2 linked regions of the Alligator mississippiensis genome follow. The protein of the gene in region 2 interacts with the protein of the main gene of each other region in a pairwise test. Links are inferred from orthologs where the notes say so. Each region holds a gene or a part of one and is shown on either strand. Other genes may lie near its edges.

Evidence for each region.
Region 1: the proteins of SSX2IP (region 2) and zinc finger protein 777 interact in binary tests that used the Homo sapiens proteins (3 or more experiments, as listed by UniProt). The two-hybrid records come from large-scale screens. The link is inferred for Alligator mississippiensis from reciprocal best matches to the Homo sapiens genes SSX2IP and ZNF250.

The regions. Positions count from the first base shown.
Region 1 is NC_081828.1:218,303,724-218,313,622, reverse strand, and holds the start of zinc finger protein 777, read left to right. Parts: upstream 1-5,830; 5' UTR 5,831-5,893; coding exon 5,894-5,914; intron 5,915-5,925; exon of another isoform or gene 5,926-6,189; intron 6,190-6,307; coding exon 6,308-6,709; intron 6,710-8,429; coding exon 8,430-8,556; intron 8,557-9,899. Other genes in the region: histone H2A, read left to right, coding at 22-597. UniProt on the Homo sapiens protein: May be involved in transcriptional regulation.
Region 2 is NC_081828.1:28,255,040-28,264,698, reverse strand, and holds the start of SSX2IP (afadin- and alpha-actinin-binding protein), read left to right. Parts: upstream 1-5,942; 5' UTR 5,943-6,093; intron 6,094-6,600; exon of another isoform or gene 6,601-6,734; intron 6,735-6,918; exon of another isoform or gene 6,919-9,659. UniProt on the Homo sapiens protein: Belongs to an adhesion system, which plays a role in the organization of homotypic, interneuronal and heterotypic cell-cell adherens junctions (AJs).

The DNA.
Region 1 (9,899 bases), about 190 Mb from region 2:
CTTCCTTCCTCCTGCTCCACCATGGGCGAGGCTCGGCCGGGCCCAGTGCAGCCGGCCTCGCTGCTGGACGCAGCCAGGGACACGGCTTTGCTGCAGGGATTCGCACTCATGTCCCGGCAGGACACGGCCAGCGAGACGTCCCAGGCGCAGGCCACATCCCGGGCGTCCCCGCAGAAGCTGCACTTCCCCGTGGACCAGCTCGAGCGCATGCTGCGGCAGAGACTGCGCATCAAGCGCATCAAAGGCGAAGCCTTGGTTTACCTGGCTGCCGTGACCCAGTACCTGACGGCCCAGATCCTGGCCTGGGCCGGGAAGGCCACGCGAGGCAGCCAGGACAGAGTCATCGCCCCACGGCACCTGCAGCTGGCTGCCCTGCAGAGCAAGGACTTCCGCAAACTGCTGCTGGGCAGCAAGACCGTCTTCCCCGGCGGGGTCCTGCCCGGCACCCGGGCCCTGCTGCTGCACGCCAGGACCCAGCCGTGCTGCCGGAGCAGGGCTCCCAGCCCGCCGCCGGGGCAGGACCGGGGGGCCGTGCCTCGCAGGAGACATAGCAGCCACTTTGGATGTGTCTCCTCACAGCCGTCCACGGGCTATTAAAGGAGATAAAAGCAGCCAGGCTGTGCATGGCAGGGCATGGAGAGGAGCAGATAGGCAGCCCGTTGCCTGGGGGGAGAAACTCTGGCTGGGAGCCGCCCAGTGCTGGCTCTAATCCTGGCTCTGCAGGCCCCCTCCATCTCCACTCCCATCCTCCTGGCTGCCTGCCTCTGTGAGGCGATGGAGGGCTGCTGAGGGGTCCCTGCTCCCACCCTCTCTGGGGCCTCAAGTCTCACGCCTAGAAGATGTTATCCAGCCATGCTCTGTTTGCCTGGAGCCTGAGTGGGACACAGGCACTGTCATCCTGCCTGGGCTGGGCAATGCCCACAGCAGCCCGCCTGCTCTGGAGTTACCTGCCCCTTTCCCTTGAGGCCAGACTGCCTCCGAGACCTCGAACAAGGAGGCCTGGAGTGGGAGAAGCTCACAGTGCTGGGAGCCACTGCCAGTCACAAAGCAGCCTGGTGGGTCATCTAGAGCACTGGGCTCAGTCCCAGCGCCGCGTGGCAGGCCAGCCTATAATACCCAGCTCCCATGCAGAGCTTTCCTCATTCAGGCCAGGTCAGACCAGACTGCAGCCTACATCCGAGTGATCTCTGGCTGTTGCAATGCCTGGCTGCTCAACATCCAGTGTGCAAATGCCCCACAGCCACTCGCTACCCTGGCACTGGTGTCAGAGCACAGGCATGCAGGGGTTTCAAGTCTGAGGCATTCGGGCATCCCGGCCATCTTCATCTTCTTCCTCATTCCCGGCACCCCTTGTTGGAGGATCAGGGTGGAGGTTGGCCTCACCTGTCTCCTTAAAGCGCTGATAGTGGCAGACTAACAAATGCTTTGCTTTGCTTACCCTGGGTAGCATGGGTACATGGGGTAGATTTCCATGGCCACGAAAGAGCCTGCAGATGGGATGCCTGTGATCATGCCTTTCTGCTCCATGGCTTCTCTCTGGATTTGCCTGGGGGCTCAGAGAGGGAAGGACATCTGTGCAAGGCTGGATGCTCACACTGGGATTCACCTGTGCATTGGGCTGGGTATCTGTGCAGAGTTGGAGCAGGCACTGCAGAGGGGGCTCCCACACACCTGTTCCCCTGCTGTGGGGAGGAGCAGATGACAAGAGCTACTGGAAAATGACCTGACCTGGCTAAAAGGTCTTGCCCCTCTGCTCAGGGTCAAATCAATGCCCTATGGAGTCAGGACCGGGGACAGGCCCCATCTGCAGACCCAGGGAGGGGGCAGCAGTGCAGCCCCTGGGACAGCCTGAATGGACTAGGGACCTACTCTCTACCCATGGCCAGGCCAACAGCTGGGTGCCCATGGCCCACGCGAATGAATAAGCAGATATTTAACTGCTGGACTCTATTTTCTGTTGGCTAATATAAGTGGAGACAGTCCACTTTGCCAGCCAGTGGCCAACGTCTGTGTTCAGTTCTGAATGGGGGCCGAAGTTTTCATGGACCAAGAACCAGGCCTTTTTTTATAGGGCTGATCATCCCACACAGGCTGAGCACCTGCTTGGCCCACCACTGCTGGGTTGTGGAGTTAGACGTGGTTTCCCAGTGCAGGACCCTGGGTTCTGCTGAGGCTGGAAGTAGCAACGGGTTCCCAACAGCCCCGGGTGTCAGCAACGGGGTCCATGCTCAATCCTGTCCTCTGTGTATATATTCAGCCATTCCCCAAGATTTGCAGGGGTGGGGGGCAGATGTGCACAGCCCTACAGCATGTTCCCTGCTTGGCTCAGGGAGAAATTAGCCCAAGAAGAAGGGAGGTAGAGGATGGTGGGAACACTTGTGACCTGCAGTGAATGAGCAGGAGCCCGCGTGGCTGCTTTGTCCTATCCCCTTGGCGTTTCAGAGGTAGAGAAGATGCCAGCTTGCAGGTGGCAAAGGGGATTAATTAGGGATGCACCTGATCAGCAGCAGGCCGGGCTTGAGCTATATAAGCCCTGGGCCTGAGAGGGGCTGGGTGTGTGATCAGGGGATGCAGGCACACAAAGCAGGGCTGAGAGAGAGCAAGACCAAAGAAGGTTTAAAGACAAGAGGAGTGTCTGAGTGTTGGACCTGGATGTTCAGGAGCCAGGCAGCGAGTAAAAGTCAGACCAGATGGTCCACAGGCCCCGAAAAGGGCTGAGAGCTGGACTAGAGGGTCCACAAGTCCAAGAGGGGCTGCGAGCTGGACCGGAGGGTCCGAGAGCCCAGAGGGAAGGGCTGAAAGTATTGAGGAGCCTGGCAAGGGGCTAAGCAGGAGGGACCTCAGATGCCACCATTGAATGATAACATCTGCGAGGCTTGGGGTGTGGTGTAGGGCAGAGCGGGGCCAAGCAATTAGCCCTTTAGGCTACTGGTGCCCTCCAAAGGCACGAGCAGGCTGAGAGGGCCTATCAAGCCTGGGGGGTGAGTTGAGACTAGTATGGCCCCTTTGCCAGGACCGAGGCTCACTCTAAGGCCTGTGGGCAGCCTCCCTTAATCAGCCTTTAATGAGAACAAGACATGGCATCCAGGGAGGGTGACATTAGAGTCCAAGCCGGGCAGGAGCCACACAGCTGCCCCGTGGCCTTGAACTGCTACAGAGGGGGTTTGCCGTGCAAGAAAAGCAGGGCGCAGGGCAGCGGGACAAGGGTGAGCCTTGAAAAAAGCCAGCTAGGTCGGAGGTGCAGCAGCCGGCTCTCCCAGCACAAAGCAGCAATGGGATGTGCAGCAAGCCCTTACTCCAGCCGCATCCTGGGCCCTGCATAGACCTGAAGTAAAAACACATGACGAAGCCAGTGGGAAGGAACGGACTAAGCCTGGGGTGGGGTAACAGCAAACCAGCAAAGGCATGAGATACGGTGTAACAGCAAGGGGCGAGAAAGGCCCCTGGGGGAGGCTCTCTAGATTAATTTGGGAGAAAGAGGAAGGCAGAGGGCAGTGAAGGTCTGGTACTGATGCCAAGGAGGTATTTGGGGCATGCTGGGCTTCTGTCCAGTCAAAAAGGCTAAGTTAAAATGTAATGTTAATGAGGAGATAAGAGTATCGGCCAGGAGGGGAAATAAACAGGTTAAGGAGCCTTCGGTGCAGTCGGGTCAGCAGGAGCTGATGAAATCCTCCCTCGGGTAGTCAAAGAACTAGTCCAACTGATCTCTGAACCCGCAGCGATTATCTTTGCAGTTGTCCCAGACCAGGGGAGAAGGGCAAAAAACACAGTCCCTGTTTGTTTAAAAAGGGGGTCCTAGCAGCCTCGGAACCAGATGAACAGAAACGAGCCATTCATGGCTCAGAGGATGGACGGCAAAGCGAGCTTTTCAGGTTTGCAGATGAGGCCAAGCTCCAAGCAGCCCCAACTACATCATCCCAGCCCGGGCTGTGTCGAGCCGGCCCTTAAAAACCTCCGAGGATGGAGATCCCAGCACCGCGCTGGGTGACTTGTTCCAGTGCTTCACCACCCTCCTAGTGAGAAAGTGTTTCCTAATATCCAACCTAATCCTCCCTTGCTGCAACTTGAAACCATTGCGCCTTGTCCTGTCTGTTAGCAGGAGCATTGTGCGTGCGACACTGGAGACGATCGCTGCACTCTGCGGGCCTCGCTGTGCCCCCGCTTCAGAAACAAAGAGAGTGCCGGCAGTCCAGAGCAACAAGATGGACGGGGGGCTTCAAATCAAACCAGCTGGAAAGGTTGAAGGACCTGGGATTGTTTCGTCTGGAAAAGAGCTAGAAGGAAGCATGCGTAAAAAAAGTGTATTGTCAAGAGGACAGCCATCGGGGAGGAGGGACGGCGGGGGACACGCACAAAACTGGGTGAAAACCAGCGCTCCAGACTAGTTACCGGTGGTTTGCTGTCAAAGCAGGACGGCATCTCAAGGGAGGCCTGCCCTGGCCCTGGGTTTATTCAGTGTTTTCACTGAGTAATAAGGATGATGATGAGAGCTTGGGAAATATGGCTGGGAAGAAAAGGCCAAGAAACAGAGTTTTCCTGTGAAAAAAGCAGGGCAGGGGGTATAGAGCCACAGAGAGAATCGTAGGGTAAAAGGGGCTTTTGGGGGTCCATCCTGTCCAGGATCGTCCCTGACTAAACCATCCCAGACGAGTGTCTGTGCAGCCTGCTCTTGCAAAAGCCCAGGGATGGGGACCCCACGGCCTCTCCGGGCAGCCTGTTCTGGTGCTGAACCACCCCCAGACAGGTTTGCCCTACCCCCCAACCTAGGTCTCCCCTTGCCACAGTTCAGCCCATCGCTCCTTGCCCCGGGGCTATGGCCATCCTCCACAGAACAGCCCCATGGAAATGCTGGGCCGGCGTGCACGGGGGGGTTCGCCTTTCACCCTGTGGATTCCTATCGGAAGTCTCGGGGCTCATCGTGTGAACCCCGGTCGCCCACCTAGCAGTGCTAACGCCACGTGGCACCCTTGAAAGGGTGGCAGCCGGGTTGAAGTGAAGTAGGAGGAGGAACCTTTACATCAGCAGGGCGGCAATGGAGCAGGCTCGGGGCCTCTTCTTTAGGGCAGGCTTCGGGGAGCTGCTGAGACACAGGCTTGGTGCGTGGAGCAGGCAGCTGCCAGCTCCGCTGATGGGATTCGTGGGCAGAAGGCACTGCAAAGGGACAGCGGGGCCGTTCTCCTTCCTCGCAGCCTCTCCCCGGGGTGTCTGGCGCGTGCACGAACAACCCTGTACAGCAGCAGGTCGCCGGCGGCTGCGGTCCTCCTGCTCTCCCTGGGGCACGCGCGGGGCGATGCCTGCTGTGTCTGGGCTGGCTGTGTCGTGCTGCTCAGAGGTTGGGCAACGGTTTGGGTCTGGGCTGGTTTGCACGGGGCTCGTCCTGCCGCACGCCAGGGTTGCACCGGTGTCACTTCTGCAGCTCCACGTCTCCGTGCTTCAGCGAATGCAGAACCTTGGCCCCCTTCCCGGGACCGTGAAACTCTTCTCCTCACCTGCCGTGGGGCAGGGGCAGGGGCAGGGGCGGGGGCTTGACGCCTCTCTCAGAGATGTGGAGGGCTGCTGCAGCCCAGGCTGGGGCTGTGCCAGTGCTCCTGCTGGCACCAACCCCGCAGGTCCTGGAAGGAAGGGATTTCCCCCTGCCCAGACTGGTCTGCACTGAGGGGGCGGGAAGGGATCTCCCCTTGCCCGGGCTGGTCCACACTGGGGGGGTTTGCCCCGTTGCACTGGGGCAGGAAGGGATCCCCCGGCCCAGCACGGCGGGCCCGGGACAAAGCGGGCGGCGGCGGCGGGCGGAGCTCCGGGCCCTGCCCCTGCCCCGCGGCAGCGCGGACACACGCGGCGGCGGCGGCGCCTCCGGCCGGCAGGCGGCGCCGTGGTGCGGTCGGGCCGCGCAGCCATGGCCGGGCGCGCCGCGGAGGTAAGCGCTGCAGCGCGGAGCATCCCCGGGCGCGGGGCGCGGGGCCCCCGGAGCGCCCCAACTGCGCCGCGCCGTGCACACGTGCCCTGCCCCGCGCCCCGCACCCGCCTCCCTCCCTCCCTCCCTCCCCGCCCCGCTGCACAGCTGGGCAGAGCATCGCACCCCCTCCCCTGCCCTCCCCTGCCCTGCCAGGTGTCCTCTCCCCCGGGGGTGCTGCCCCACCGCCTCGCCTGCGGCACCCCCTTTCCGTAGCGGTGCGCAGGGGAAGGTGCCAGGTCGGTCCACCTTTGTCTCGCCGTGCCACGGTCCCTCGCCGTCCGCTGGGTTGCGGGAAGCCCTAGCCCGAGGGGTGGGGTATGGACTCCCCCAGAGACGAAGTGTCTGTGCCCGCAGGTTTCGGCGTGTGCCAGGGACGCCAGGCTCCACCGGGCTCTGCAGCCCTCCGTGGTCCTCAAGCGGACGCCGGTGGGAGCCATGCGTGGCCAGCACGCGGCGGGCTCGTTGGGGGCCGTCATGGCCACGCTGGAAGCGATGGAGAAGAAGGTGGAGTCGCACGCGGTGCGCCTGCTGAGCCTGGAGGGCAAGACGGGGGCGGCGGAGGAGAAGCTGGCCGGCTGCGAGAAAACCGTGGTGGACTTCGGCAACCAGCTGGAGGGGCGGTGGGCCGTGCTGGGCACCCTGATCCAGGAGAACCAGCTGCTGCAGCGGCGCCTGGACAACATGGAGAACCTGCTCAAGAACAGGAACTTCTGGATCCTGCGCCTGCCGCCCGGCACCAAGGGGGAGATCCCGCAGGTAAGGACCCCCGGTCACAGGGCCGTAGTAGGGTCACGGAGAAGTAGAGCTCCGGAGGTCACCTCTAATCCAACCCCGGCCTCAGCCCCGTCCAAACCATCCCAGACAACTCCATCATCTCGACTTTGTGTAAGACTGACCTCAACCCTGACACGACACCGACCGAACACCCGAGCCTGCCGCAGGGAAAGCAGGGAGACTGCGGCGGTCAATGTCTCGCCTCTATAAAACCTGCTCGAGAGGTTCTGGGTAGGGGGCTATGCCCCGCTGCGGAGGAAGGGCCCTCCCTGCCCCCAGTCCGCACCCATCTGACCACGGGGGAAAAGAGTCCTTCCTGACCCCAAAGATGTGATTGGTCTGACCCTGAGCAGAGGGGCAAGACCCTCTAGCCAGGAAACCTTGGCTTTGGTCCCGGCAGGAGAATTGGCACGCCCCCGTTGAAGTTCCCACCCTTAGCTGTAGCCAACACCCAGCGCCTCTGGGGAGGCTTAAAAACACCCTGACAACAGAGGAAAAAAAGGGAGTAGACAGCAAAGCCCAGAAGCTTGGGAAATACCTATGGTAGAAAACAGGCATCGCTACACCTAAATTGCCCCCAACCAGTGACAGCCCAGCATCTTCTTAAACGCCTCCAGTGATGAGGAGTCCTCTACCCCGTTTCTGGGGTTTTTAGGCCACTGCCTCACTGTTCTCACAGTGGAAATGATTTTCTGGATATCCAGCCTCAATTGACTTTACGGCCTTATATCAGCCATTCCCAACGGGCGTTTCGTGCATGGCAGTAGGGACCTGAGTCTGCTTTATGCAGCGAGGAAAGGTGGAGGCGTAGTGCGATAGCTGCAGGGTGGCAGGTCGTTCTCGGAGCCCAGCAGTCAAGCTGGCGATGGCTTGGTGCGCGGGCTGCTGCGGCAGGCCTGGGGTACATCTGCACGCATCTCATGCTGGTTGCCACCTCGTGCGTGGCCGAGGTGTGTGGTCTTGAGACCAGATCCCCAAAGGCATGGGGGGTTGTAGTGCTGAGCCCCTGAGGTCTCCAGCCTCATGCTGGGTGTCTCAATGCAGCGCTTGGGGGCAAGTTGCTGACCAGGAGCTCGGTGTGCTGGTTGCTGACCAAACTGAGCTGGAGATGCAACGGGCAGAAGACAGGCTGGAGCTTCGGTACTTACCTGTGCCACCAACATAGCCAGAGATCAGGGCCTTTCCCTCTGGCTGGGTCCTCAGCAGTGACGCCTTTCCCTGCTGTTAAGCAGCTAAACCCAGTTTTTGTCTGAACAAAAAAGAAGTGGAGAAGCTGGGGTGCTACCCCACATCCACCAAAGGCCCCATGGTTAAAGCACTGCTGGAGTGGGGGCAGACAGCTCGTCCTGCTTTGGTGGGGACCCGGTCACGCATGCGTGCGCAGCATTGCATGTCTGTCTCCTGTCTGTGCAGCATCCAGTGTAGGTGGGCTAGGAGCAGGTTGTGCTGGTGACAGGGGGTGGCTTCGTGCCTGGAGGTAGGCAGCAGGCCCTGGGTGGCTTTGAACAAGCTGGCTTTTGCAAACAGATGACCTCAGGGCTGGGTGGCAGCTGGGGGAACCTCTGCAAAATGGGCCAGGGCACCCCGGATGTGTCTCGAGGTGCATTTGGCTCAATTGAGCATGCGGTGAAATGCAGCCCCTCTCTTATGGGCATGCAGGCTGTTGTTGAAGCTGCTGAGCGTGTGACCTCTGTGCTTGCAGGTGCCAGTGACGTTTGACGACGTGTCGGTCTACTTCAATGAGCAGGAGTGGGAGAACTTGGCCAGCTGGCAGAAGGAGCTGTACAAACACGTGATGAGGGGCAACTATGAGACCCTGGTCTCGCTGGGTGAGCATTTTGTTTTACTCCTGTCTGGGCAGCTGCACTTGGTACGGGCTGGCTCGGGGTGAATCTGCGGGGCCTTCTGGTTTCTGGAGGATTGCAGGCAAGACCTGTTAGGCCATCAGACCCACACGACAAATGCGGTGGAAGGGCAAGCTGGGTAGGATCTCGCCTCATGTGCTCTCTGGGGTGAGCTCTATAGAGTTTAGGACTGGAAGAAATTATTGGGATCATCCAGCCCTGTGACGCTCCATCCTGACTCAGCCAGGAACCAAAACACTAGAGCAAGAGGTGAAGTGTGGCAAATACGCTGCAGTTCGAAAGAGAAATAGCTACAGGGCATTAGTGGCCATTTGCATGGTGGGCAGAGATGCGCAGCACATGCATTGCCTCAGTTATGGAGGCAGGAAAGACAGGCCAAAGGCACGTAGCAAGAAATGAGCTTTAGCGTTTTTTTGCCAAGAGCTGCAGGTGATCAGCTGAAGAGCTTGTGGAACAGGAGCCACGGTCTGAGTGTCTCTGACCTGTCTGATCCACTGCTGATGGGGGAGGCACAGCCCCAGGTGAAGTCCTAAGCCTGGGGTTTGTGGTTTGAGTTAGGCCATATCCTGTGGATAACCCACCGTGATTTAAAGGTCTCGCACTGTAACCCCGTCCCACGCTAAAGGCTGGTAAAACATCACTTTGTGCATGTACTCACGCAGAACTCGGACTCGGCTCTAAGATATCCTCCACCAAAGCTGGTCCCAGGAGCAGCTTTACCGTTTGTTTGGTCTTTTCTGAGTGACAGTCCAATGGTTGCTGCTGGGGCACCTTTCTCCAGATGACTCTCCTCCAAGCCAGGCTGGTCCTGATGGCAGCAGTTGCTTTGGCCCTTCTGCAGTCACATAGGTGCCTGGCAGTGACAGGTCAGAAGAACTGCCCTTCAAGTGGTTGTTGAAGCTGAAACAGGAGGTGTTTGATCAATAAAGACAACACCTTCTTTTAAGCTACCTGTTGTCCAGGTGGTAGAGGTTTTGGCAGCCTTGAAGATAACTGAGAAGTTCCAGGCTTGTTCTTCTCTTGGAGCTTGGCCTCCCCTTGCATGTGTGAATCCCCCTGCGAAGGACAATAACATACCTCCCATGCTTTGTTTTGATGTAGGAACCCTAGGGAAATATTAGCATCCGTCCACACTGCCCACCACCTCTGGCCACTGATTTGAAGGGTTGGCCAAAACCCATGGACAGTTCTGCATCTTGAAAGATCGCCCATCGCTAAGGCTGATCAGCATCCTCTCATGTCACTGAATCATAGACAATGAGGGTTGAAGGGACCTCATGTGGTCACATCTAATCCAACCCCCTGCT
Region 2 (9,659 bases):
GAAATCAGGATAAATCAGGGGCAGGCAATTATTTTGGGTGGAGGGCCACTTACCCAGTTTTGGAAGGCTGTCGAGGGCCGCATGGTTAGCCCTGCCCCTTGATAGGTGCCCCACCCCTTGGCAGGTGCCCCGCCCCCCTGGTCACTATCTTGGGACCAATGTCTTGGAACCAATGTCCCAGGGCCAACACTGGTGGGGCCCAGAACGGGGTACAGGCCAGCAGGGGTTCTGCATACATGGAACCCTGCTGGGTTGCACCAGCAGGGAGTGGGGAGCTGACCCGGCTCCATAGAGTCCCTGCCAGCTGTCCCCTGCACTCCTGCCACCGTGCTCTGGGCCCCACCAGCACTGGCCCCAGGACACCGGTGCGGGCCCTGTGCTCCTATTGGCTCCCTGCCTGCTGACACCCAGTGCCCCCCAGCCCCGCAGCGAACAGCCCTGACCCCCTGCTTGCCAGCAGGGAAGAAGCTGGTGCTGAGCATGGGGAAAAGTGGCCCCTTGCCTGCCCCATTGCCGGCGCCCCGCACTGCAGATGGTCGCAGCCCATGTGGGGCTGTCTGAAGCAGGCACAGGCAGCCTCATGTGGGCTGCAGGTGGCTGCAGTGTGGGGTGCTGGCCATGGGGCAGGCGAGGGGCCGCTTTTCCCCATGCTCAGCATCAACTTGTAACCAGCCCCACTGCCAGCCTGGCAAGTGGCGGGGGGAGAAAGCAGACCCTCCCTGCTCCATGCCCAGTGCTCCACGCTTCAGCCACTTGCAGCCAGCCTGTCCCTGCTCCTGACAGCCCCGTGTGGGCTGCAAGCGCCTGCAGCACGGGGCACTGGCCATAGGGCAGGCGAGGGGCCACTTTTCTCCATGCAGGGAAGGAGCCCAGGGAAAAGCTGAGAATGGGGGGAAAGCAGCCCCTCCCCCGCCCCATGCCTGGTGCCCCATGCTGCAGGTGCTCACAGCCCGCATGGGGCTGTCTGGAGCGGGCACAGGCAGCCCCATGCAGGCTGCAAGCAGCTGCAGCATGGGGCACTGCGTGTGCGCGGGGAGGGGCTGCTTCCCCCCCCGCAGCATTCCTTCCTTGCCCGGGGTCCCCGCCCCACTTACCTGAGCTTCCCGTGCCAGGAAAGCCACATATTCCCAGCCCAGAAACTGCAGCTGGGGCTTCTGGCTGGGGGGCGGGGCCAGGCGGCCCTGCTGTTGTTGGAGCCCGCCGGGCTTGCCCTGGGTCCTACTGCCCTTGGTTCCTGTCATTTTTGACAGGAACCAAGGACAGAGAAATATTAATTTTCTACATTTTTTTAGGGACCCCGTGGGCCAGATAGAATGGCCTTGCAGGCTGGATCTGGCCCACGGGCCGTATTTTGCCCACCCCTGCGATAAATAGATTCAGTTTCTGGCTCTTGTATGGAATCATACATTAACATTTTAACTATTTTTCCAAGTATTTGTGTTTTCCCATTTGCAAAATTAAGACAATACTGTTATATTCCCAGATAAACCATACCAAATAATTTTTCAACAAAAATAATTTCACTTTCGGAGCAGGAATTTGCCTTTATGACATGTGGCTTCACCTCTTTGGACTGCACTGTGTTGCTAGAGCCTCTGAGGACATTAAAGTCTCCAAAGCACAAGAGGATCCCCACTTCCCCTCTGTGCTCAGAGCCACGTCCCCTCTCTTCCCATCCTCTTCTCCTTCAGTTAGTGCTGCTTTCGCCACTGTCCCCAGGGTGCGAAAGCTTCAGAGCTGCTCCTGCCTACTCCAACTGAGCTGTTTGGGGCCTGGGCTCACCTACAGCAGTGATAGTGGCAATGGCTTCTTGTGCCTGCTCCTAAGGGAAATGGGCAGTGTGGGGAAACCCACCCCTTTTTCGTTGCTGTTGCCGCTGTTCTTAGCTAAGCCCAGCCACCACACAGCTTGGCTGGAGAGGGAAGGAGCAGCTCTGAAGCTTTCCCTATTCCCCAGACCTTGGGGAAAGCAGCAGCAACTGGATGAGGAGGGGTGGGCTGGGGACATGCCTCTGAACATGGTGGGGAATGGCGGGATGCTTACCTGCTTTGGGAACTTAAAAAGTCCTGAGGCTCCCACAGCATACTCTGCCCACTCTGGTAGGTAGCAGGGGAAGAGGCTGAGCGCAGAGATGTGGCCACTCTTGCACCTACCTTTGCCAAATCTTGGATCCACCCTAGAATAAGATAGAACCAAGGCTGTAACAGTAGTTTATAGGAGTGCTGGGAGGCTAAACTCATTAGTCTTTGGATTTTGAATCCTTGGATGGACATGAGTATAGAAATGCAACATACTAATCTTTCCCTGTCCATATTTATATTCTGAAAATGTGGAAAGTTCTGATACAGGTTTCCCTCAATATATGCAGTAAATGTGTTTTTGGAGTACAGTGCATAAATCAAATTTGCATAAAGTGAACCCACTTTATAATGTAACAAATAGGAATACATTCCCATGGTGGTGAGGGAGGGAGGGAGTGAGGCTGGGACTAGGAAAGGGGTGGGGAGAAGGGTGCAGCGCAGCCTGTTAACAGCTCCTAGGGCTGCAGGAGGCAACAAAGTGGCAGAACTGTGAGTGGTTAAGGCATAGGAGGGCACAGTTCTTGCTGCTACGTACCCCCTGGGAGGGCTGCACCGGGCTCTTTGGGGTGGGGGGCAGGCCCCTGGATCTGCACATGGGACAACAGCAGGCTGCCACTGCAGGCTGGGGCTGGCGGCACCACCGGGCTCTCCCCAGCGCTCAGCGGGCAGGTTGGGGTGCTATGGCAAATTTTGGGGTGGCAGCAGCCCTGCTACAAGCACCGCTGCTCACCTGGAGCGCTGGGAAGAGCCCGGTGCCACCACTGCCCCCAGCCTTGCTTGCAGGAATGAGGCAGCAGCGCTGGGAGGGGGGATGCTGCCACCACAAAATTTGCCATAACTCCCCCACCTGCCCTCTGAACACCAGGGAGAACCCGGTGCCACCGCCAGCCCCAGCCTGCAGCGGCAGCCTGTGGTTGTCCCACGCACAGATCCGGGGGCTTGTGATCCCCTGGGAAGAGCCCAGTGCAGCCCCCCCCAGCCTACAGCCTTCCTGGGGGGGCGCATAGCAGCAAGAGCTGTGCCCCCCTGTACCCCACACCCACTTATAGTTCCTGCTGCTTGCTACAGCCTGGGGCCCCCACTTCTCCCCACTCATTCCAGCTGCTGCAGCAGACCCGGGAGCAGCCGACACCACCTGCCTGCACCACGGCATGGCACAGCGCAGCCCAGGGGCTGGGGTGAGTGGGGACAAGCGGAGCCCTGATCACATAAGAGTGAATTTACCTCACATATAAGGAATTTTGGGTAGAAAAAGGGTGATCGCATAGGAGCAAATTTGCATATATGGAACCCTTATAAATGAAGGGAAACCTGTATTTCAGGGCCCAGCTCATAACTGCATGGGTATGTCTGTCTTCTGTATTAGTCTCTACACAACTGCTAGCTGCATAGATGTTACTTGAAAAAGTGTCTTGGGGTGTATGAGTGATTGTGTTCAGAGACACTAAAATGGTTGTTGGCTTTAGAAAAGCAAATCCAATAGCCTGTTGTATAACAGGATCAGACACTGTAATGAGCTTATTCTGTGAGTTAAGAGTTCATCAGCCGTACTAATTTCTAATGTAGGACAATGCTAAATCTTACTTCACCTTGGCAGTGAGCATTTCTTGAATGCAAACACTGAAGAACAAGATGGATTTGAATCTAATCAGACCCATATAACCCATATAACAGTTGAACACAATTTTAGCTGTTTTTAAAGGTTATCTTATCTCCCATTTCTCAGAATAGTAACAGCTTCCCCCACTTTAAAATTTATACTGTTTTGATGTAAGAATTCCCTTTCTTACCAAAGGACTGGAAAAAAGAAAAAAAAGTTGTCCTCTGAATTTAGTTATCTTTTACCACCTGTGTTATACATATTTTTTATAAAAGAAACATAATTTCTTTTATTTTAGGTATGTTACCAAAACTTAATAATAATTCTTAGCAGAAAATAAATTCCATCAAAAAAGGCTAAAACAACCATATGATCCAATATTTTCTTATTTTACTACTGAATTTCCAATCAATGAGTCTCCTAATAATTCTTTCAATTAGACGCAAGCAGGGTAAAAAAAACTATTTTATATTATTTAGTGAAACAACTTTGTTCATATTTAGGTTATACTCAAAGCCATGGCATACATTATGAGAAATGTAAAACGTGTTTACTTGCTGTAGGACAATAACGCTTTGATGTGTTCCTCCACTGTATCCTACGACAACAGAAATTTCCAATTAAATTATTCCTTTCTCTCTGCAAATTACTAACTAGATCATCCTGTGTTTTAATGCCAAAAGGCTTGAAAGTATATTTTTAATAGTTCTCACTGGAGTTTCAGGAAGATTATTTTACACTGATTTAGTCCTTCTTAACTGAATATACTATAGGATATACATTTTCCCATTAAGTATATTTCTTTCTCTGCATCTTCTACACACAGTTTTCCCAAAAGGCTTGTCCTTCTATCTTTGACAGTCCATAAAAAAATAAATGATGCATAGCAAAGTGCTTGGGGAGTTCCTTTCTGAATAACATCAACTTTCAGGAACAGCTGCTAAGATCAGATAGACAACTAGAATGCACACGCGGTGCCTCTTAAAGATACAGGCATGTAATCCTCCTCTCTGGACAAAGAGAGTCATCCAATCTGTCACCATCACTGATATATGTCTTCTATACAAGTCTGTCCTAGTTTTCTCCTCCGAAACAGGTCTGAAACAAACAGAATCTGCAGTATAAAGTCCAAAGTCTTTGCTATTACTCTTTAAGCCATAAAATAATAAATATCTTGCATACTGTGAAGAATGATCTTCCTGGTTTAAATTCCTTTAAAAATGTGTGTATATATTCTTTTTTAAAGAAATATCTACTGCTATGGTGGCCAAAAATATACAAAACCAAAACAATAGCAAATATTTCTACAGTATCTACAAAACAGTAAGGTTGTGCTTTCTCCAAAAGGACTGAGTTTACTAGCCTTGTAAAAATGTTCTTGTCCCCTTGCCTGGAGGAATCTTTTTGTTGTTTTTAAATCAAGAAAGGATCCTTAGCTTTCTATCCTGATGGTAACTGGTAACTGTTGTGTTTAGGAGGGTTTTTACGTTAGTTTTGTAAGGCGGATGTTACTTTAGCTACAATTATGCCATCTACCGACTGATTTTTGAGCACGTTCTTGAGCTAAGTCAATCCAAAGTACATTCAGTGAATCGCAGTCATAAGAATTCTTGTCTTTAGGGATATCAAAGACGGCAGCAGCAGCACCAGGGTGCCACCACAGCACCAGCAACACGCTGGCCCCATAACAGCCCTGTGGGAGAAAATATTTGGGGGGCTGAGTAAAAGGGTGCCCACCTGCACCCCACCCCTCTCTCCCACAGGGCTGTTGCGGGGCCAGCGTGTTGCTGGTGCCGTATGTGGTGCTGTGGTGACACCCTAGTGGTGCTGCTGCCGTCTCCAGCTGCTACACAATTAATTTGGGGGAAACTAAGCCCCGTTAGCTTCAGCTTTCTGCCATCTATGCTGCTGTGGAAGTGCTGGTCCACAAACAAAAGCAACATTGAATGTTGCCTCTCATATTAAAAACACAGGGAAAGAATCGGTGCTTGACAAGTTCAGAGAAAAACCATGAATGTCACATTTACAAAAAAGGGCATTGTGAATAAAATCACATCACCGACTCAGTTCTCATCTTTTAAAGCTTCTGTATCCCGTTCCTCTCGCATCTTTGCTTCCAAGGCTTCCCCAGCGGTAAGAGCAATCCCACCCACCAGGTGGACGGCTTCGCTCCTGCTTTCCCTGCCGGTGGCCTGCATGGCTCCTCCTCACACACAGGGCGGGCCTCCAGTCTCGGGCAGGCCTCAGACCCTGCGGGTCCGGCCCACCTGGGAGCTACCCTACCTGGTTGTGCTCTCCCCTGCCCATCCAGCTGGAGCAGGATTTCCCTCGGGAAGGCCGAGAACAGCCCCTTACCCTGGAAGGAGCTGAGGAGTCGCGGTCAGGAGCAGGGGCGCAAGGAGATGCCGCTAGGTAAGTCAATACAGATCACAACTAAGCTCCTGCCTCGTCTGCCTGTGTCGAATTGAACGCACTTTGCCACGAAGGCAACAGGCTGCTGAACTGGAGACCGGGCCCTGTTGGGGAAGTGTTCGCCAAGGCCGAGGGGGCAGGGCGGCCGCGCCGCCAACAGGCACTGGAGCAGGGAGGCGCGGGCTCTCGCCTGCCTCCGGGACCGGGCGAGGAAAAGGGAGGCGCAGCGCGGGCCCGGCCCGGCCACGTCTGGTCCCCGAGGCAGCCCCTCCCCGCCTGCGGCAGGTGCGTGTCGGCCCCCGGGCCCTTGTTGCCGGCCTCCTAGCAACCGCGCGGCCAATGGGAGCGCGGGGGGGCGGGGCCGGGCCGGGCCGGCGGCACCCGCGGGCTCTGGGCTGAGACTCGCCTCGCCTAGTCTGCTGCGCGGGTGAGTGCGCGCGGGGCGGGGCACGCCACGGGGGGCGGGGCGTCCAACCGTCCTCCCCTCTTGGCACCGCCCCCGGCACGTGCGCCCGGGAGGGGGAGGGGAGGCTGCCCATTGCTGCCGGCCCAGGGAGGAGCGGGCTGCGCCGCGAGCCCCTTCGGTTCCGGCTCCTCCAAGACGTCATTGTGCTGGGCCCCATGTGTGACGTGGGCGTGACGTAAGCAGGGCGCGGGCACGTGGCGTTTTGGGGGTGCCGGGGGGAGGCCGCGCGGCGAAGCGGAGGCCGCGGGACAGGTGGAGCAGGGCTGTGAAGCGGGCGGGGCTCGGCTTGCGGAGCACAAAGGTCTGGGCCTGTCGCCAGGTGTCGGAGGCGCGGGAGGGCCCCGGGGGGGACAGCCGAGCGCCTTCCCTGGAGCTGAAAGGAGGAAAAGCTCCGGGTGCCGCAGGGCTGCGGGAAAGTTTGCACTAATCCGGGCAGCCGGGCGGTCGCAGCACAGAGGATAACTGGCCGCCCGTTGCAGAGCCGGCTGGCGGAGGGTGTTGGTGGTGGGGAGATGTGTGTGGCACCTGCGGAGTTGCAGACCTGGCTGCAGCCTTGGCAGGATTCATTTCTCCAGCAGCAGCGGAGCGAGACGAAGATCCATGGTCTGTGAATGGTAGGAGGCAGCAGGGTCGATCCTCGAGACCACGGGCGCCGGCCGGCTCCATGGGTGCTCTGGGGCTCAAGCATCCACTGAAAAAAATTAGCCAGTGCTCAGCATCTCCAGAGCTGCCTGCAGATGTTAAAAAACCCCAACAAACAAAACTCCCGGTGCTTTATGGGAAGAAGCAGCACACGGCTTTAACCTGGCTCTACAGCGTCTGTAAAGATGGAGTGCTTCAGTGGGGCTTTTTGGTGTTTTTAGCTAGAGGTGATTCAGTCTTTACAGACCGGGTAGCAGTAACACACTGCCTCTTCTGGATATGCATAGGGCTTGGCACGGGAATGGTCCTGGGTAAAAGTAAAGAGCCATTTTTGTTGTTGTTTTTATGCCTGCAAGCACCACCAGCCACAAAAAAAGGTGGCACCTATGCTCGAGGCAGTAGGGGATGCAGCGGCGCCTAGTGCAGGTGCGTGGCACGGGTAACTCCACACCTCCACACGTAACATCAGTAAAGAAGTGGAGGATATGCCTTGAAAGTAGTGGGGCGGGGGTGAGGACTGTAGTGAAGCAGTTGTCCAACTGTTAAACATATAAGTGACTTAGCACAGATATAAACTTGCAGATTTCTTTTGTGATTGTAGCTGTATTACAGATCAAGACAAATAAACCTCTTATTTGTTAAATTAGTGGAACTGATGAATACAACTAGGAGCCTTCTAGCAAGGGTGTAATGTACTAATAAACTAAATGAAGACTATACAGGCCTGCAGGCTGGACAGATTAGGACTTGTGTTTTCCAAATTTACTTTGGAGTTGACTAGGTTAGTTTGCTATGTCAAACTCCTGAATTAAGAATACTCGTAGAATGTAGAAAAGTGGTGGTAAAATGTAACCCGTTACCCTCCAGGATTCATATAACTAATAATGCTCAAGTAGGATCAATTTCTACAAACTAATATAGAGTCTATAAATCTCTAGAATTCATTCTGTCCATAGGTAGTGTCACTAAAGCTATAATGAAAATCATTATTTAACATTATTTTTAACATACAGAGGTGGTAATAATTGTGAGCCACATTATTAAAATGCCTGTAGCAAAAATAGCAACTGTCAGAAATGTGGAGGTGGAGGGAATACTTGGATTTTCAAGGTTACTGCATAAATAAAGCAAATGAGTTGCTTTTTATGACATTTTGAAGGATAGATGTAAAAATGTAAGCTAATGACTACCAGCAGGGCTCAAATTTACATAGAATCTATTTGTTTTGTTTCATCCAGATAGCCATCTGTGGAGGCGATTAATAGATAAATCTAAAAACTTTAAATAGGTTCACAGCTCTTTTTGGAATCCAATCTTAGCAGAAGGACTTGTATTGCATTTTAAGTAAATGCTTACCTTTTGTGGCCTTTATATTCTCTGAACAAGTTTTTATATACTTTCAGAGATGTAATTTGCAAGTTGAAACACCTTTCAGCAAAATTGTAGTGTCTGCTGTGTTTGGTTGGAAGACTGGTTCTTGTTTCTTGGTTGATATAGTGTTGTCCCTTTTAAAGAGCTGTTCTACATCAGAAAAAATGTAAGATGCATCTGAGAAGAAGATAAAAAGCTAATTTGGGGGCAGGAACATTTTGGAGAACCATGTACTTTATTTTTCATTTGTGAAACTGTCCATGTAAGTTTTAAATGATTATACTACAGTGTGTTTATCTTCTGATGAACATGTGGCTGAACTAGTTTTTAGAATTCAGTTATGTTGATAGCTATTTCTATTGAATTTAAATCTGACATTCAAAATCTATGCTTTGAAAAAATAATGGTGTATGTGTTGTTGTTGGGCTTGTAATTCTATTACATGTGATTTTTTTTTTTAAATTGAACACTTAAGACCAATTTATTACAGGAAATCTGTCTGACTTCTATTTTAAATCATAAAGCAATGATTTGCATTAGGAAGGAAACAAGAAGATAATACCATTTTAGAACATGCTGATACGTTATTGCTGAAAGGAAAAATATGTTGCTCACCAAATCGTGTAGGGGCTTAAGGGAGCATATGGTAGGTGTCTACCAGAAACCAGGTTTCCTAAATAGAAAGAGTATTTTTTCAGAGTCTAATTCCAACATGTAATTAAAATGGCAGATTATTCCAGTTTCTTAGCTATTTCTGCTCTGGTGGATTGATTACTACTTTTTGGACATCTGCCAAAGCATTCTTTGATCTAGGATACAGTTGAATCTTTCAAGATTTTTTTTTTTTTTTTTTTTTTTACCAGCAAAGAGTATGAGTTTTTCCATCTGGTACATAAATCCCGCCCCCCTGGAACTGAGGCCTAGGTGTACATTTTTGGGAATTTGCCTAGCTTTGTTCTCTTCAGGAATTTCTTCAATGGAACAGCAAGTGATATTGCCAGCTGGCAAAATTACATCTGACAGTTACTGGGACACTGCAGGTTGTAGGCATATCATCAGAGCTGTTGGCTTGCAGAGAAAAATTAGC